2 linked regions of the Canis lupus familiaris genome follow. The protein of the gene in region 2 interacts with the protein of the main gene of each other region in a biochemical or structural test. Links are inferred from orthologs where the notes say so. Each region holds a gene or a part of one and is shown on either strand. Other genes may lie near its edges.

Region 1 (10,034 bases), on a different chromosome or scaffold from region 2:
CCGTCTGTGGATCGGTCAAATGATTAGACACACTCGAGGCACCATGGCGCAAAGGGAGCAAGGGTTTAAAGATCATAGGGACCCACTCACACAGGACACGCAACTGGACGCTGCTGTTCCTGTGTAAGGTCTCCCCATCCACCTCGAGGGTGGCATTGCAGAAGAAGCTGCGCCTGTCGTCCATCTCGGTGGCGTTTAGCTGAAACTGGGCAGGCTGTCCAGGGGCCGCGGCCGGAAGTCCCTCCAGCATGACCTGGACGCGGGCTCCGGCCGCGCAAGTCACAGTCACTGCAGTCCCCTCGGAGGCGTTGGGTTCACTCAGGTTTATGGTGGGCCCCCAGAAGCCTAAAGAGGGGGCATTGTTCTGGAGCTTACTGACCACTCCCTTCACATGCGTCAGACCTCACCCTTCCATCTGCCTTTTTCCTCTGGGGGTATCCGACCCATGCCTTTACGCTACTCGGCACCACCCTCAGGTCCCACTCCAATTTGGGATACTCTAGCTACACCCTTCGGGTAATTTAGGCCCCTCCCACACGACAATCCCTGCAGTCGCAGTCCCTCTCTGCAGGCTCACGCCCCACCTCTCGTTTAGTCCCCGCCCACATGTCCCCAGGGACACCGAAGCCCCGCCCCTTGCCCTCCGGGTCTGCCTCTTGGCTCCGCCCCCTCTTACTGTAGACAGTCAATTTTTCGCGGGCCTCCCGGCCGTCGTTCCCCAACGTTATGTTGCAGACTATCTCCTGTGCGCCCTCCTGCTCCGCTCTCGCTACGGCTGTGGCTGTGGCACTGATCGTGTCCCCGTGGCTCTCGACTGTAGAGTTCAGCGTCTGGTTCCCCAGCGCCAAGTGGACTTGGGCCTCGGAGGCCGGGAACAATCCTTCCAGGATGCAGTTCACCGACCGAGTCGTTCCCACCTCCAAGATCCGAGGGACAACGAGGTGCGGAGCCGTGATGGGCAGTGCTGGGGAGAAGGGTAGGCGTGAGCAGGAAGAGGTCCCAGAGCCGTCGGCGCCCCTTTACCGCCTGAGACGTTCGCAGCCCCGAGCCAGGCTTCTGCCTTCCCAGGACACCTGTTCCTAGGACGCACCTGCTCAGGCTTCTTGTCAGCTACCGCGGCCGCGAGGCTCCCAACTGAGGCTGCACCGGCCTCAGGGGCCAAGGGCACGCCTTCCCCGGAGCCGCTGAGGGTCCAGTCCACTCCATTGTCAAGAAACCTCCCGGCCAGGGCGCCCCTGCGCTGGCTCAGCTCATCACCTACCCTCTGCAGTCCCGTGCCTCACCAAAGGTTCGGAGCTGCCTGGGCGCCGAGCTGTTCTGGAACAATCCCAGCCCTCGGGGCCTCAGGTCCAGGTCCGTGCGGCACGAGAAGTTGGCGAGGTGGTCCTCCCTGCCCGCCGCCACCGTGAACGTGACCTCGGCTGGCTCCCCGACGGCCGGTTGCCGGCTCAGCTCCTCCTCCCCGCGGAGCAGCACCACCGTGAGGTTGGTCCGGGGCGCCCCGCCTGCCACCTGGCAGGTCATGGTGAGGTTCTCACCCACGGGCTGCCAGCGGGGTAGGGGTGCCAGCTCCACTCGCTCCGGGAACCCTGGGGCGGGGGTAGGGAGGGGAGAAGTGTACTTATCAGCCGGCCCTGCAACTCCTACCCCCACAGAACAGGGAGGAGGCTGAGGGTGACCCGGTGCAGAACTGAACTTTGGGTTAATCAACTCGAAGGGCTTAATACTGTGTCTGGAGAAGTGTTTGCTATTGTCATTAGTATTATGATTGCTATTTCCTGTTTTGTGGGATACTCTGCCAGACTCTGAAATAAGTCAGATTTTCTGTTCCTGAGAAAATCACAGTTAAAAAAAAAAAAAAAAAAAAGGAAGGAAGGAAGAGGACTAAATTGGAACTACTTACAATGTTATTAGTACTCATAAAAGTTCCTGTTTATTTAGAGTTTTCCTTAGACTTTCCAAATGTCATTCACCTTCGTTCACACAGCAACCAAGTGAAATCTCTATTATTCTTCTCCTTTATAGATGAAGAAACTGAGGCCCAGAGAGGTGGGGTTGAGGTGATCCACCCAAGAACAGACACGTAGCCAGAAAGAAGCCCTGCTGGGGTTAGAAGGTGAGTCACCCAGACTCCAGACCAGTGTGTACACCTGCCTCCTTGATGTCACATCCAGGGACTCCAATGGCCCCTCTCCCAGCCTCTGTCCTGGACTCTGCCTTTGGCCTCCTCTGTCAATCCCAGGCGCCTGAGACTCTTACAGGGAAGCCTCTCAGGGTGCTCAGGCACAGTCTTGAGGGACTCCACACTGCCAGGCTGGATCTGCTCCCAGCTGCAGCTACAGTGCCCCTCCCAGGCATGTATACCAAACCCTGGGCCTCCTTTGGGAAGCATCGTATACCCTCAACAACTCAAACCTTGATCTCAACTATGACCCTGGCTACTATGAAAAATCTTTAACATCTTACTGTAGGAATCCCCTGCTTTCCAAAAATACCATTACACCACTTCATTTTTATGAAAGACCTACATTAATTGTTAGTACCTGTTCTCACTAAGTAAAAGAAATGCAAAGAGGATTTTTGCTTTTAAGAAAAAATGACAAAGGGTGCCTTGGCATAATTGGTTAGGCCTCTGACCCTTGGTTTCAGCTCAGGTCATGATCTCAGGGTCATGAGATCAAGCCCTGTATTGGGCACTGCGCTCAGCTCAGAGTCAGCTTGAGATTCTCTCTCCCTCTCCCTCTGCCCCTTCTGCTTATGCTCTCTCTCAAATAAATAAATAAATAAACCTTTAAAAAAAAATTTGGTGAGAAGCAAAGATAGCACTCAGCATTGGATTTGCAATGAGGAGTTACAAAGACAGCAGGCACCCTGTGCAGTGACAATGGCGGTCAAGCTCCTTCACCAGGATCACACTCAGCGTCTCTAGCAGCAGATGAGCTTTGACTTGTGTCTGCGAGCATCGGTGCTTTAGCTCCATTTATTTGGTACATCCATCAGCAAGATGTATCCTATGGTACCAGAAAAGCCTAGGAGAGGTTAGTTTTTGGGTCTGAGAATACTCAAGGTTTTTTCGATATAAATTAATTACTTCTTCACTTTACATCATTTTGTTTTTTAACAATTTTATTTATTTATTCATGACAAACACACAGAGAGAGGCAGAGACATAGGCAGAGGGAGAAGCAGGCTCCCTGCAGAGACCCTGATGCGGGACTTGATCCCAGGACCCCGGGATCATGACCTGAGCCAAAGGTAGACACTCAGCCTCGAACCATCCAGGTGCCCCTACATCATTTTGACTTACAAAGGTTTTATAGGACTGCTTTACTTTGGGATAGTTGGAGAAACCTGTATTTATAATTTCAGAGTACTTAACAAAGAGGCCCCCATCTCAGTCTCAGGCACCACTGGTCAGAGATGATGATGTGCTGGCAAATGCTACTAATGCTCAGGAACTAGGGGATGGGGTGTGGTGGGATAGCCCCAACCTGGAGGACTTGCCAATCTCTAAAGTGTACATAACTCCCACTCTGGCTGCTTTTTTTTTTTTTTTTTTTTTTTTTTCCTGGCTGCTTTTAAGCTACAATGTGGCCCAGGGTTTGGAAGAGATGAGTACCATTGGCTCCTGTGAGCCAGAACCATGTCCTGACACACCCACATCCAAATCGACTCACACACAGACACCTATTGACACAGAAACAGGCACTCACACACAGTCCTGGATCCTGACATCAACGTACTCACTTTCACATTCACGCACACACACAGAGACTCATAGACACCCACACAGGCACACACAAATAGGCAGACAGATGCTCATGCATCTGTAGGTACACATGTACACTCCTACAGACATACATAGACTCACAGACACACACACAGGTACACAGACAAACACAGATGCTGGCCCGCAGCAGGAGCATACACATGGTCACATCCGTATACCACACTTATCTATGGAGGCTTCACGAAACAGTAAGAACCATGAGTGACATACTCTATTTTCTGATCATCATATTCCTTTAAATGCAAAGAAACTCTGGCAGGAACCATAAGAAACTGGTAGCAATGGGAGCTGGGGAGATAGACTCATCTGTTAGGAGCAAGGACTTGAGAGCCAGATGACTGGCTTCTCCACTCATGGACTGTGAGCCCTGCCAAGTGACTTTACCCCACTAAGTTCTGTGGTCCTCATCTGTGGAGGGAGGCTCCTAAGTGTACCTCCCCAGCCTGGAGCTTTTTAAGGATTGGATGAGCACCTAGTGCCCACACTGAAACAGTGAGCACTCCCAGCCAGCACTAGGAAATGAGGAAATGGAGGTTGACTTTTATGCCTTGTTATAACTTTTGATTTTGGAACCACATGCATGAATTATTACCTGCCATAAGAATAAAATAAATAGGGGCACCTGGGGGGCTCAGTTGCTTAAGCATCTGCCTTCAGCTCAGGTCATGATCCCAGGGTCCTGGGATTGAGCCCCGCATCAGGCTCCCTGCTCATCAGGGAGTCTGCTTCTCCCTCTGTCCCTCACCCTGCTCGTGTTCTCTCTCTCTCTCTCTTGCTCTCTTCCTCTTTCAAATAAATAAAATCTTTTTAGAAAAAAGAATAAAATAAATAACAGACATGAGACATCTTTGAAAAAATGCTTGTTGGGACCAAGTAAATTGATCTCACAGCTGTTGCCTTGGCATATGGTTGAGATGCATCTCTCTCTCTCTCTCTCTCTCTCACACACACACACACACACACACACACATTCAGGTTCAGACTCTGGGTCAGAGGACTGGTCCATCTCTGCAAACTCGGGGTTCCCTGCTCCCCCTGCACCACTGGTCATCTACCCCCACTACTGCCCAAGGCCAGTCCCAACTCTAGGTGCCATCACTCACGGTATACTGTGATCTCAGAGGAGCCTACCATCTGGATGTCATTGCAGAAGCCGGAGCAGAGGACCTGGCTGTCACTAGTCACATTGCTTAGCAGGAAGGCTGCCCAGCCCAGGCCGTTGCCCACTGGCTTCTTGGCTAGGGATGTCTCTAGAATGATGAGTCGAGGATTGGGGCAGTCTGTACTGCAGTTTACCAAGAAGGACCCTCCAGCAGGCACCAGAGTGTTCTCGACCTCCAGCCTCATTTGGTATTGCTGTGCCCGGGCACCTGTGGAAACAGAGGGACACTCTGCTGATTGTTCGGGTACCCCTACTTACCCACCTGCAGGCCCCACCTTTCAACATGACCTCGCTGCCTTCACGGTGCCTCAGTCGAGTGGGGAAGACAGATGATGGATCAGGAACTGGGGGAAAGCCCAGAGAAAGACTAGGGGAGACCCTGATGCAGCCCGTGAGCCCTCCTTCCAGAAGAAGGAGACAAAGCCAGTTTTGAAGGGAAAGTAGAAGTTATCTGAGTGAAAGAAAAGTGATCCTGGCAGAGGGAAGAGTAGCGACAGAGGTCCAAAGGGATTCTGTGTTGGGGTGGGAGACAAGTCACATGCAGGAACTAGTCCTCGGGGAGCCCCAAAGGCTGAGGTGAAGAGCCAGAACTTTCTATTGAGGCCACTGGAGAGTCCCTGTTGATGTGAGTTTAAGGAAGTGTCACTGCAGCCAGGGCAGCAGGGGGGTGCTCTTCCCTGCCTACTCCCCCAGCCTCTACCAGCCCCCCATCTCCAGCCCTCTCCAGCCTGACTTGCCTCACCTGAGGGCGGCAGACAGCAGACCAGAAGCAGGGAGATGAGTGAGTTCCCGTAGGCCCCCAGCAGCAGCCCCGAGGGCAACATGGTGACCAAGCTGCAAAAGGAAGTTGCCTTAATGAGGGCAGGGGGAAGCAGGCAGAGCACTCGGGGACGGAACCACAGTCACTGTCGAAATTGCAGAAGTTCAGGGGTTACTTTTTTGCCCAGAGCTGGGGAGGGCAGGAGAGATATTCTGTGGCCCAGGGGGTCCAGAGTAGGGCACCCGGCCAGCTGGACGTGGTGGCTGGTGAGTCTTGGACAGGGAAGGCCTGACTTCAACTGCTGAGCCTCCAAATGAACCAACAGGAAATGTTCACGCGGTTATCTTTGTTCTCTGAACTAGGAAGACTGGGGTGAGGTGGAGGAGGTGAGACACCTCCTTCCTGCTGAACTTGGGTAAAAGAGGGGTGTTCTGTTTCAGAGAGGAAGTTAGCAGGGGATCTCCAGACCGGGACTGTCGTTGAGGTGATAAGGTGGGATTTCAAGGCAACGTTTCAGGAGGACAAGGAGGGGACGTCTATGCGGGGTGTAAAGGCATCAGCATGAGCTCTCCATATTCCTGGGATGAGGCAAATAAGAGGTGTGGGGGCGATGAGGGACCCCTAAGATGAGTGAAGACATGGAAATGAGCAGAGTCCACATCGATTGGGCCCTTGTGCCTGGCTCTGTGTTGACCTGTCTGCATGGCTGCTATGGGGCCCTTTACCTTTGAAGATCTCCAACGGTCTCCCCCATTCCCTGTGGTCCATGCTGAGGTGGGGTGTTTGGAGCACAGCTGAATCCCGAACCACTGACTGTCGAAGATGCCCCTTATAACTGGCCCTCAGCACCGTCCTTATGACCTCCTTGCATGCTACTCCAGGCAGCTGGCTTCTCCACACCCCAAAAATGGACTGGGGGGCCAGATGGTTACACCAATTTCCACTTGCTCCATCTCTCGAGTTTTGACCTTCCTTTGTGCCTCTGATCCGAGCTCCAGAAAGAAACCTCGTTGAGGTCCCCGATGGCACCCAGCATCCAACCATCTCCCCATCCTAAGGCCATGCCCCCTCCTCTCTGAACTGGACCATCCCCCCATCCCATGTGGCCTCTCCCCTGCTGCCCCTCCCAACCACCCATCTCCCACAATATCCTGAGAGAGTGACCAAAACCCAAATCAAAACTATTTGTAAATAATACTGGTCTCCCTCACTTTTCTAAAGTTCCGTTACGCCACTTCACTGTTATGAAAGCCCTCCATCAGTACCTCTTTTTTGTTAGCCAAAAGAAAGGTGATGATAATTTTCCCTTTTATGAGAAAAGATGAAAGCAAAAATAGTATTCAACACTGGTTTTACAGTGGACATTATAGAGGAAGTGCCCCCCGGGAAGAGTGGCGCCACCAAGGCTTCTCCACCAGTCTATTGGTTTTTTTAAAAAGAGTTTATTTATTCATGAGAGACACACAGAGACAGAGACACAGGCAGAGGGAGAAGCAAGCTCCACGCAGGGAGCCTGATGTGGGACCCGATCCTGGGACCGAGGGATCACATCCCGAGCCAAAGGCAGATGCCCGACTGCTGAGCCACCCAGACGTCCCACTTTATTTAGGCTGTTTTGACTTACGAAAGATTTCATAGGAACGCTTTACCCACGCGTGGCTGGGGAAACCTGTATATCTGTCAAGGGCTTATCTCCAGGTTATAGAAATTCTTGGAAGTTACAGAGGAAGTTAACAGGGGATCTCCAGCACTGTCCTTGAGGTGATAAGGTGGATTTCCTTTTTTTTTTCTCTAAAGATTTTATTTATTTATTCATGAGACACACACACACACACAGAGGGAGAGAGAGAGAGAGGCAGAGACACAGGCAGAGGGAGAAGCAGGCTCCATGCAGGGAGCCCGATGCGGGACTCAATCCTGGGTCTCCAGGATCACACCCTGGGCTGAAGGTGGCGCTAAACCGCTGAGCCACCTGGCTGCCCCCAAGGTAGGATTTCAAGGCAATATTTCAAGAGGATACTTGGGGGGACTTCTAGGAAGGGTCTAAAGGCATTAGCACAAGAGCTCGATATTCTTGGGGGTGGGGGAGACACAAATACAAGACCACAACTCAACAGCAAACAATAAATAAAATAAAATAATGGGCAAAGGACTTGAATAGACATTTCTTCAAAGACACTATATAAATGGCCCATAAACACACACAAAAAAAGATGCTGAAGATTACTAGTCTTTAGGGAAATGCAAATCAAAACCAGAATGCAATAGCACTTCACAACTATTAGGATGGCTATCATCAAAAAAATAAACCAAAAAACCCTGCAGAAAACAATTGTCAACAAGGATGTGTAGGAGTTGGAACTCCCCTACTCTGCTGGTGGGAATATAAAATGGTGCAGGCACTGGGGAAACCAGTTGAGCGGCTCTCTTCAAAAAGTTAAACATAGAGTTATAAAACAAACCAACAAAAATGTAGAATTATATTACCCAGCAAACCAACAAAAATGTAGAATTATATGACCACTCCTAGGTAGGTATATCCTAAAGGGACTCAAACAAATACATATATGTACACCGATGTCCACAGCAGCACTCTTCACAAAAGCTGAAAGGTAGAAGCAACCTGAGTGTCCATCAGCAGATGAATGGATAAAAAAAAATATATGGTATATACATATGCATATACATAGAGTCAAATATTATTCAGCCCTACAAAGAAAAAGTTCTAACATGTTACAGCATGGCTGAACCTCAAAAACAGTACACCAAGTGAAATAAGCCAGGCACAAAAGGACAGATAGTCCACTCATGAGGTAGGTACCTAGAACAGACAAATTCGTAGAGAAAGTAGAATGGTGGGACACTAGGGGGCCTCAGCGGTTGAGTGTCTGCCTTCAGCTCAGGGCATGATCCCAGGATCTGGGATCGAGTCCCATATTGGGCTCCCTGCGGATAGCCTGCTTCTCCTTCTGCCTATGTCTCTGCTTCTCTCTCTCTCTCTCTCTCTCTCTCTCTCATGAATAAATGGATAAATCTTTAAAAAAAAAAAAAGTAGAGTGGTGGTTACCAGGGGCTGAGGGAGGAGTGGAATGGGGAGTCCGTGTTAATGGAAACAGCTTGGGAAGATGAAAAAGTTCTGTACACAGTGCTGTTGGTTACACAACATTGTGAATACATTTAATGCCACTGAACCATACACCTAAAAAATGGTTAAAATGGTAAGATTTATATTTCGTTGGGTTTTTTTTTGTGTGTGTGTGCTTTTAAAGATTTTGTTTATTTGAGAGAGAGCAGGAGTGAGAGTAGGGAGGGGCAGAGAGAGAGGGAGAACCAGGCTCCGTGGTGAGCAGGGAGCCTGATATGGGGGTCAATCCCAGGACCCTGGGATCATGACCTGAAGCTGAAGGCAGGCTCTTTTTTTTTTTAAGATTTTATTTGTTTATTCATGAGAGACAGAGAGAGAGGCAGAGACACAGGCAGAGGGAGAAGCAGGCTCCAGGCCGGGAGCCCAACACAGGACTCGATCCCAGGTCTCCAGGATCATACCCTGGGCCAAAGGTGGCACTAAACTGCTGAGCCACCTGGGCTGCCCTGAAGGTAGGCTCTTAACCAACTGAGCCACCCAAGCACCCCAAGAGTTATATTTTGTTTATTTTACCACAGAAAAATAAAAGACATATGCTTATTTTGATTTGTATCCAAGACATGAGATGGATTGCTGGATGAATAGAGGAATGGATAGATCCAGTATGATCAAGCACATTTAAGCAGGTAAATTTGGCAATTCAGGTAATTATGGAAGCTAAAGGTATTCACTGTATTGCTCTTCTAACTTTTTATTTTAAGGTTTTATTTATTTAAGAGCGAGCAACAAGTGCATGCGCACATGAGTGGAAGGGAGGAGCAGAGGGAGATGGACAAGTAAGCTCAACACTCAGTGTGGAGCTGGACATGGGGCTCCATCTCATGACCCTGAGATCATGACCTGAGCTGAAATCGAGTCAGATGCTTAACTGACTGAACCACCCAGGCGCCCCTTAACAATGCTTCAGTACAAAAATGTTGGAAAATAAAAACTGGATCCTTGATGGATCTGAGTGGCTGCTTGAGTCTCAAAAGGAGCGACAAGCTGACTTCGAGTGCCTCCTGCTGAGAAGGCACAATGCCTTTTGTAAAAGTCTACCCAAGAAATGGAAACTGAACCTGACCATTGGTTGGTCAAGGTGAGGACAGAGGAACATGTTAAACTACACCACAGGGGTGACATGGGACTGAGAATCCCTACAGGACGAACAATCCAGTATCTTTTTTTTTGTTTTTAA
Region 2 (10,066 bases):
GAACACCGAGTGGCCAGATTTCTCAGTGGACCCAAATGATGGAAGCTGTGCCATCAAGATAGTACCAAGAGACTCCTAGTATATTGCCCTGTGAAGACCCTTAAACATTATTTCTAGACACAAGGCAGCAGCCACCTGTCAGACCGTCAGGGTTCTTACTCAAACTTTGCTCCTGAATTTTCACACAAGGTTACTGAGTCCTGAAAAATAACCTCAATCGTTGTTTGGCCAAGGGTACCCTACGTATTTCCCTATTGCCTATTGACCGCTCTGTTGAAGTGAAAGGAGCTAGAGATGGTCATACTATTTGTGAACTTTTTTTTTTTTTTTGGTTGAGATAACCTGGCACCAGTGTGGAGACTGGCTCGGGGGTGATCTCATAGGAAAGCTGCCCTCGGCTAGATCAGGGAATGGTATCTAAGACTGTTGGCTCCGGGTTTTCTTACTTCCTCCCATGATATTGATTAATAAACGTGAACAAAAACCATGGCTTAGAAAAGACAGAGGTATAATTTCACAGAAGAATTGTGAAGAGAGAGACAATAAATAATATTGTCAGGATCCTGATACATCTTAAGTCAGCTGTTCTGAAATTTTGGTATGCATCAGATTCACCTGGGGGCTTGCTAAAACCATAGAGCCCAGGGTTTACCTGAGCCTTACTGGCTTGTGATTCCTGGAGGGGGCTCCTTGAATGATTCCAAGGCAACTGAAGCTTCAGGGCCACTGTCCTAAGCAATTCTCTCTCTCTCTCTCTCTCTTTTTAATATTATTTATTTATTCATGAGAGACAGAGAGAAGCAGAGACATTGGTAGAGGGAGAAGCAAGCTCCCTGCGGGGAGCCCGAAGTGGGACTCATCCCAGCCACCTGGGGATCATAACCTGAGCCAAAGGCAGATGCTCAATCACTGAGCCACCCAGGTGCCCCTGTCCTAAGCAATTCTCATAGATGCCTTGGAATTGGTTCTTCTGTGTGTGTTGGGGAGGGCGGGGGCAGGGAAGGAGTTTAGGTCCCAATGTCAGATGAAAATAAATTACCCCTGGTAAATCCTCTTAAAACACTCATAAGATACAGCAGGAATGTTTTTGCAGAGGAAGAAAACCCTGTAGAGCAGCACGTAAGGATAATGCTTACAGTAAGACACATGAGGAATGCGTATGCAAACTATATCTTTATACTATTCTAACTTACAGGAGAAAAGTATGCCTAGAAGTCAAAATGCTCAAAAAAAAAAAAAAAGCAAAATTAAATGCTCCATTTTATGACTTAGTGACACAAAAACACCATGAAATATATATTATAAAGTCCATTTTACGGATGAAGAAGTGGGAGCTCAGTCACTTTAAAGAGATTTGCCCGAAATGATTGGCATGTCAGTAATGGAACCAAGATTCAGACTTAGTTCTGTTTGCTCTTTTCATTAAACTTTTTGAGATAACTGTAGATTCACATGTTGTAAGAATGCAATCTTTTCATTTTGATCACACTGCCAGAGGCCAGTTCTTTTTTTTTTTTTTTTTAAAGACTTTGAGATAGAGAGTGAGAGTGCACAAGTCGGAGGTGGGGAAGGGGCAGAGGGAGAAGCAGGCTCTCCACTGAGCAGGGAGCTCAATGTGGGACTCAATCTCAGGACCCCGGGATTATGAACTGAGCAGACTCTTAACCCACTAAACCACCCAGATGCCCCAAGGGCCAGTTCATTTTTAAGCATTCCCCTGAAGGGTAAAGTTCAGAAATGCTTCAGAAGGTCTTGGGCCACTGCTCTTTTAAACATCTAATTTAAAAGACAATATGCTAGGGGCAGCTGGGTGGCTCAGTGGTTGAGCATCTGCCTTTGGCTCTGGGCATGATCCCGGGGTCCTGGGATGGAGTCCCATATCAGGCTCCCCGCGGGAAGCCTGTCTCTGCCTATGTCTCTGCTTATCTCTCTGTGTCTCTCATAAATAAAAAAATAAAATCTTTAAAAGAATAAATGAAAAAAAACCTATGTGCTATAAACTGGGTAAAAAAAAACAAAACACAAAAAACAATAGATCAGAAGCACAGTGTCAGGAGAGTTGGAACCAAAAATGGCTCCCAAGGCTCCAGGCAGTGATAAGGAGGGAGAGAGGGTGTGCGAGGAGGACATGTCCAATCGGAACCATTGTCACGGTAGGTTATTTAATATCTTTTCATAGTTTTTTCCTACTGCACTTACCCTTCCATCTCCATTTTAATATTAAAGTCTCTCAGAATAAACGCACTTGTCAGAATACAGGACAAAGGCCTCGGGCCTCACCGGGGCCTCTGCCCTGCTGTGGACCTGCAGCTGAGAGAGGGTCACAGGTGCCTACTGACAAGGGTTACCCCATCAGTGGTCTGTCCCTGTGGCAGGTTAGGCATTAGGAGGAAGCCCTCACTGTGTTAGGTACTTAGCATGCATGATCTCATTTAATCCCTAAAGCCCACAGAGTATCTCCATTCTACACAGCAGGAAACGGAGTCTTATTTGGTGCTTTGCCAAAGTGACCGGCTACTCTTTGTACCAGGGCAGATTTAAGCCCTGTTCTAGGCATCTTACATATATTACCTCTAATCCCCATAAGGACTCCATGAAAAGGGTGCCATAATTATGCCATTTTGCAGATGCGAAAGCACTAACTTATTTAAATAACTCTCTCAGCCCAAGAAGTTAGTGGTGAGCCCAGGAAGGGAATCCAGGAGAGGCTCTGGTCTCAAGCCTGAGCCGGCATCACAACCACCTGGACGCAGGAAGGCGCAGACTGCTGGGCCCCAGCCCCAGTTTCGGACTCCGGGGGCGGCCCCTGTGAATTTCCGCTTCTGCAGGTTCACAGGTGAGGTCGGAGCTGCTGGTCTGAGGACACAGCCCTAGAGTCCGCTGCCTTAGTCACTGTGCAACAAATCCCAGGGGCCACCGAAGTACACGTGTTTTTAAAAGTTCCTCTTGGGGAGCGTGTGCAAAAATTATTGAAAATGATTCCCAGAATCTCTGCCCGCGGAGATTTTACCATAGTCCGCGGTGAGTCAAGTCAGACGAGACCGCACCGTGTCCCCGACGCCGAGCGCTCGGCCGCGGGGCGCCTTCTCCCGCCGAACCCGAAGGCAGGGGCGCGGCCCACGTGCGCCCCGACGCAGCGGCCCCGCCCGCGCCCCCAGCGGCCTGCCCGGGCACCCCACCGCGGCCGCCCGCGCGCCCAGCTTTTTTGACGTTATTTTGGTGTCCCTTGGCCCTCCGTGGAGCGAACGGTCTCACGCCTTAGGCGTCTGCAGCCAGAGACACCGCAGTGGGGTCAGACTCGGCCACGCTCTCGGCGAGCGGGCGCGCCCACCCGGGTCCCCGCCGCCCTGGGGGAAGCCGGCGGCGAGGGGCGCCCCGGGGCCGGGCCGCAGCCATGTTGCGCGCCGGGAGCGCCTGGCGGGGCGGGCGGGGCGGTTAGGGGCGCGGCCCCGGGACCCCGCCCCGCCGAGGACTCTCGGGAGCTCGCGCGGCGGGCGCACAGCGCGGACACACCGGCAGCGGGGAGCGCGCGGTCCTCTGCAGGCGCCGCGGGTGAGCGGGCGCGTGGCCCGGGCGGGGGGCGGCGGGCGGCGGGCGGCGGGGTTCGCGCCCCGAGGGGGGCAGGTGTGGCGCGGCCGGCCGGGGGGGTGCGCGGGCCCGGAGCCGGTGGTCCTGGGAAGAGCCGCGCTCGCCCCGCCGCCTGCCGGGCTCGGGGTCCCCTCGGCTCTGTCTCCGGGCGCAAGCAAGCGGCAGGTGGAGCTGAGCCTGCAGGTGTGGCCGCCCCCGCCGCTCCGGCCCGTCCGCCGTCGGCTCCGTCCCCCAAGTGCCCGCCGAGCCCGGGCCGCGTGGGCGCGCGTCCTGCCCGGCCCCTCCCGCCGCGCCCGGCCCGCGGCCCTCCGGCCCCTCCGGGGCGGGGACCATTTTTAAAAAGTGTTTCTCAAAGGCTTGACGGTTGCGGTTTCAGCCGTGGGGCAAACGGTTGCTTCACAAAGTGAAACTTGGTGTCTGCTGGGCTCGGGGCTGGCTTCCTGGAAGTCCGGGGAGCACCTCGGAGGACGCCCCGCCCGCTTGCGCGTCCCCGAGTGGGGCCCCCTCCGCCGGGCCCCCTCCCCACTAGGTCCCCTCCACCCGGGCCACCTCCCTCGGGGTCTCCTCCCCACTAAGTCCCCACCCCCGGGCTCCCTCCCCAGTAGGTCCCCACCCCCCCGGGCCCCCACCCCCCGAGGTCCCCTCCCCACTAGGTCCCCTGCCCCGGGGCCCCTCCGCCGGGGCCTCCTCCCCACTAGGTCCCCTCCTCCGGGCCCCCTCCCCACTAGGTCCCCACCCCCGGGCCCCCTCCCCACTAGGTCCTCACCCCCCGGGCCCCCTCCCCACTAGGTCCCCTCCACCCGGGCCCCTTCCCCACTAGGTCCCCTCCACCCGGGCCCCCTCCCCACTAGGTCCCCACCCCCCCGGGCCCCCACCCCCCGAGGTCCCCTCCCCACTAGGTCCCCTGCCCCGGGGCCCCCTCCCCACTAGGTCCCCTCCACCCGGGCCCCCTCCCCTCTGGGTCCCCACCCCCCCGGGCCCCCTCCCCTCTAGGTCCCCACCCCACCCACGCCCCCTGCGCGGGCCTCCTCCCCACCAAGTCCCCACCCGCGCCGGGCCCCCTCCCCCTTCCCCCGGTCCCCTCCCCCGCGGGGCCCGCCCGGCCCGCCGTAATTGCAGGTTGGGCGGTGACTCAGGCGGGCGCCCGCCCGGCCGGTTCTTAAGCGGCAGCGCGGGGCGGGCGCGGAGAGTCGGGCGAGGCGGCGGCTGCGCGCGCTGAAGGGCGTCCGTCTGCTGCAGGTCCCGGGAGCGGTCTCAGCTGCTGCGGCCGAGTCGAGTTTCCAGCGGAGTGAGGAAAGCCCGCGAGGAACCCAAGATGCCGAAGCCAGTAAGCGGCCGGGACCCCGGGGCGGGGGCGGGCTTCGTGGGTCGGGGAGGGAGCTCGCGGGGGCCGCGCGCCCTGCGGTCCTTCTGTTCGGGAGCCCCCCCCCCCCCCCCCGCCCCAGGAGTTTATGCTCTTTTGTAAAAGAAAGTTCGGCCTGCTTGAAAACTCTATTCTAACGTCGCTCGGAAGTTTCTCAATAAGAAGTTGTCCAGGTGACGGAGGGGCCGCTGGCTTCCGACGACGCCCGTCGGCTCGAGTCCTTGGGTGGGTCGGGACCGGACCCGCCCACGCCCTGCTCTGGGGCCTGAGCGGCCGGGCTCGGGCTCCGTCTTTCTGGCTGCAGCTGCCTGCCAGCCGCGCTCCGCGCCCCCGGGGGTGCTGGTGGCTGCAGGATCCCTGTCCCTGACAGAGGTTGGGTAGTGACCTGAGTCGCCGATGAAGGAGGGCGGCCCTGCTCTCCGGTCGTGCGCCCCGGGGCCGCCTCGTAAACGTCCGCACCCTGGTCCCCTGAATCTGATTGTGTTGCTCCCAGGGTTAGATCCCCGCCCAGGCTGGGGGGGGAGGGGGGACGTTCATTTAGTGGGGGGAGCAACGCAGGTTCTTTGTGACCAGCATTTCTTGGAAAGCTGTCTGTATCTACCTGCTTTAACACAGGGGAACTGTGGCTAGATGTTGGGGAGAGGATTTGACATTTTTTTAAAGGTTTTGACTCAGGATGGAAGAAGATACGTGCATTCATTACAAATTGCACTTAAAGATATAGAATTCTAGTTTTTCAAACGAGTTCGTTCTGTAGTCCATGCTAATGCATTTTCCAGCAGCAAGTCGTAGAGTCTCTAAAAGGAGTTCTTTATTAATCAAGGGTTTACTGTTAGATTAAATAAATTACTATGTTAATATGCTATCAGCTTCAGAAACCAATATAGTTTTTGTCTAGATTACATAATTAAGATGATTGATTCGTGCTGCAGAAAATGTTTTTTCCTACGCAAAACTCTTCTTTTTGTTTCACACTTGGCACATGGCACCCAGGCTTTACAATGCCTGTGATGTAAAACTGATGTAAACTCAACCAGTTACTCAGGGCACAGCCCCATGCAGCCTTTTGCTGAGCAGCCGTCAAGACGTTACCGTAGGTATTGGTTTTCTTTATTTCACTGAAAACAGGCAGAGTTTAGCTTTTAAGATATCACTCTGAAAAAAGGCAGTAAACCAGTTTCCTGTCACTGCTTTTCTTTCTCATTTCTCAAAATGATCTGTGATTTCTTTTATTCTTTTTATTGCAGTAAATATACGTAAAAATACAATTTGTTATCTTAATCATTCTTTTTTTTATTTTATTTTATTTATTTATGATAGTCACAGAGAGAGAGAGAGAGGCAGAGACATAGGAAGAGGGAGAAGCAGGCTCCATGCACCAGGGAGCCCGACATGTGGGATTCGATCCCGGGTCTCCAGGATCGCGCCCTGGGCCAAAGGCAGGCGCCAAACCGCTGCGCCACCCAGGGATCCCCATCTTAATCATTCTTAAGTGTATAGTTCAGTGGCATAGGTATATTCACCACCACCATCCATCTCTACAATTTTTTATCTTTTGAAACTGAAACTCTAACCATTAAATACTAACTCCCCATCCTCTCCCCCAGCCCTTGGTACCCACCCTTATACTTCCTGTCTCTACCACTTTGACTACTCTTAAGGTCCTCATATAAGTGGAATCACACAATATGGTCCTTTTGAGACTGACTCACATCACTAGTATACTGTCTTCAAGGTTCATCCATGTCGTAGCATGTGTTAGAATTTCCTCACTTTTTTAAGGCTCTTTTTTTTTTTTTTTTTTACTACTTACGGCAGGTATATTTTAATTGTATAAAGATAGATACATTTGAATGGTTGGGGTTTTGGGCTTCTACCTGAATCCTTGAATTCAGCAGGCACAGTAATTTTGATTGATATCTAAACTGTCAGTAGACAACTAAAACAGTGTGAATGAAATATTTATTTGCTGTTTTTTCTCAGTATTACTTCTCGAATCACCACTTGTTAGATTGGGTGTTCACTCATTTAGCAAGCATCTGTCCTGCAAGCTGTGTGCACAAGGCGTGGATAGGTGAGACCAAGCTTGTCTCCGGGGAGCTTATAGTCTAGGACCCAAGCCAGAACACGCACGAATGCTGAAGTAGAAGCTGGAATACTGAGTACCACCAAAGAGGGGGAGAGGCTTAGGTCAAGTGCAACACCGTTGGGAGGAAAACCATCCCATGGGGAAATGCGTAGACTTTATTGAAGTTATCCTTCAGCTGAGAAGTTACCCTTCAGCTAAGTCTTGCTCGAGGGCTGTGGGTAGGATTTGATCAGCGTGGGTACTCCACGGGAGGCACTATTATCTGGTTTTGCTTTTCCCACAACTGTTTTGGGGCTCTACTCATGTAGACTTCCAAGGAGGAGGGTTTGAGGTCCAGAAGACACCACACCCTCTGCTCAGCTGATTGTTTGACCTTGTGGGCCCCTCTCATCTGGGGAGAGGCGCGGGGGGTTTGTGTCCAAGGATCTGGCTCAGGAAGCAGGCCTTGTGCCAGTGGTTCAGCCAAGGGTGACCTGGGGTCCTCCTTCCTCTTTACTTCTTAACTACCACACTTGCTTTCTTCATTGTGATAGGAAGGAGGCATAGGGCGGTAGAAAGGAAAACCACAGCAGTCAAGTTTAGGAATGATGCAAGCCAAGCTCTCTTAAATCTTTTCTGAGCTTAAGGGGTACTGGCAGATGCTGTAACTTCATTTCTAAAGTTTTGATGTGAAAGTTTTTAATATAAAAGATTTTTCCTTTCCGTAGGAAAACTGAAAGCATGTTCAAAATTCCACCCTGTGCCAAAATGTTAAGATAATTTCTGAGATTACTTTGCCTCTCTGGGAATATATAGCCTTTTCCACTAAATTTTTTTTCTGTACCCACTGTGGAATAAGTCCTTGTTTCTTAGCTTCATGTTGCAGGTTCCTGGTCTATAAAATGGGGCTGCTGGCAGTACCTAATTCATAATGGTACATGAGACAGTTAATGTCCATTAAATATTTTAACAGACAGGATTTACTGAATCTACTGGTTCATTTTCCAGCAAACCCCCCCCCCCCCCCCCCCCCCCCCCCGCCCCAATCAATTGAGGAGGACACATGGGATGTGTTTTCTGTGTATCCCTCCTTCACCGCGGGCAGATGGTGAATTAGATAGCTAAGATTTTCCCATGTGGTGAGAAGTGCTGGCTAGGATTAGTCATTTATCATCACACTGTTTGTAAGGCACAGTGAGTCTATTTGTACATTCATCCATTAGTTCAGCAGGCATTTATGCATTATTCTGCTAGAAGTTGAGGCTACCAAGATGAGCAGACACAGAAATATTCCCTGGCGTCGTGGATTTACAGTCTGGTGATTGGAACAGACAGTAATCCTAGAATAACTTGAGTGCATATAATGGCGTTTCTGTGGTGGTTATTGGCAGAAGTGTTAGGGAAGACAGGAAGGCACCCCAGGAGGTGATGACTGTTCAAGCAATGTGAGGAATGGAGGGGTCTTTACTAGGTGAAGGAGGGAAGCCAGAGCAAAACAGCTAGAGGGAACAACTTGTACAAAGGTCCTGTGGTGGGAGGGGAGTAGGATGAGTTCAGGGTTCTAGATGAGAATGTGTATGGCTAGAGAGGAATATCAGGCCAGCTGTGCAGAGCCTAGCAGGCCATAAGAGGGCATTTTCAGGACTTAATTCAGGGGGAAACACTGAAGGGTTTTGATTGGAAGGAATTTGGCTTTTGAAAGGTCATTTCAGCTGCACTAAGAGAATCAGTAGGAGGGAGGAGGTGAAGGTGCAAGGGTAGACTCTTGGAATAGCGTGGACCATGGGAGTGTGATGCAAATGGAGAGAAGTGGATGTGTTTGGGAGCTCTTTGATAGGACTTGGTGGGTAAATTGGGTGCAGAGGGCAGAGTGTAGCTGACTTCTGGAGTCTGGCTTGCATAACTGGTTGGATGGTAGTGCCATTCACCGAGATAAGGAACCTGGAAGAAGACCAGGTGTGGAAGGGAGGGTTGAGAGTTTGGTTTGTACTTGCTGACAAATTTGTGACTGTGATCAATGAAAGGAGTCCTTGCCTTCTTCCATGTTTATAATTGCAACCTCCTAAAATACATACAAATGTCAGTATTTTTCTTAAACTACAGTGTGTTTTAAATTCACATAGACTAAAAGTAATCCAGCTTCATCACACGTGTATACTGCACACACATAAAGTTAAAAGTTAGGTTTTCATGCTTTATTCTCAAACTTTGGCATATGTAATTCTCTGGACACCTGAAGATTCCCGGGTCCCTCACAGTACTACTGAATCCCCATCTTTAGGGCCAGGTGCTTTCAGTAAGCTCTCCCCAGATGGATCTGATGGACTTTGGGAACTGCTGATTTCATAAGGAAAAGGTAGTTTATATATTCATTCCCTCGGAATCTCTGCGATGCAGGGAGGCCCTCTTGATGGGTGGGGTTGATGCCGATGGTTGTGTGTGAGCAGAGACCAGAACCCATGGTATGTTTAGGGGGACAGCAAAACCCAGTGTGATTCCAAAGCATCCATTCAGGCAAATGTTCATGCAGGCTTGGGAGTGGATATTGAGTCGCCTTCTTGAAGTTAGTTGCAACTTAAATGCCATGGGTGCCATCACTGGTATTTGGAATGTGGCTGGGGTGGGGATGAAGAAGATAACTGGATGGATCTCAAACTCCAGAAAGACAGGAGCTAAGATGTCTAATTGGATCTCTCTGATTCAAACTTATCTCTGCAGGAGTCCAGTTGCAGAGCTTAATTTGGCAGTGACCAGTGGGCTCTCTCAAATTTTGGTTTTCTTGTTTTTAAAGGGGAAATAGAGGCAGCCATTGTTCATTAAATAGCAGGGAAGAGAGATCCCATTCCTCATTCCTCTTTTTCTCTTCTGGTCTTCCACACTGGCTTCTCTGGTTAGTCACTGTCCTAAGTAGTAATGTGATTTCTAACGAAAACTTTAATCAGTTTATGAATACTTACAGTTTGGGAAAGGAAAACAATATTGCTATTCTTACTGAATTATGATTACTCTATTTTACTTAAACTTCTGGGCTTCTTTGACATTTTGAA

The links.
Region 1: the proteins of EZR (region 2) and ICAM3 form a complex in vitro, tested with the Homo sapiens proteins (2 studies listed by BioGRID). The link is inferred for Canis lupus familiaris from reciprocal best matches to the Homo sapiens genes EZR and ICAM3.

Annotation. Positions count from the first base shown.
Region 1 is NC_049241.1:51,170,876-51,180,909, reverse strand, and holds the start of ICAM3 (intercellular adhesion molecule 3), read right to left. Parts: upstream 6,482-10,034; 5' UTR 6,467-6,481; coding exon 6,438-6,466; intron 6,039-6,437; exon of another isoform or gene 5,787-6,038; coding exon 5,695-5,786; exon of another isoform or gene 5,690-5,694; intron 5,161-5,689; coding exon 4,894-5,160; intron 3,021-4,893; exon of another isoform or gene 1,904-3,020; intron 1,590-1,903; coding exon 1,284-1,589; intron 965-1,283; coding exon 677-964; intron 346-676; coding exon 91-345; intron 5-90; coding exon 1-4. UniProt on the Homo sapiens protein: ICAM proteins are ligands for the leukocyte adhesion protein LFA-1 (integrin alpha-L/beta-2). ICAM3 is also a ligand for integrin alpha-D/beta-2. In association with integrin alpha-L/beta-2, contributes to apoptotic neutrophil phagocytosis by macrophages.
Region 2 is NC_049222.1:48,697,964-48,708,029, reverse strand, and holds the start of EZR (ezrin), read left to right. Parts: upstream 1-4,764; 5' UTR 4,765-4,903; coding exon 4,904-4,915; intron 4,916-10,066. UniProt on the Homo sapiens protein: Probably involved in connections of major cytoskeletal structures to the plasma membrane. In epithelial cells, required for the formation of microvilli and membrane ruffles on the apical pole. Along with PLEKHG6, required for normal macropinocytosis.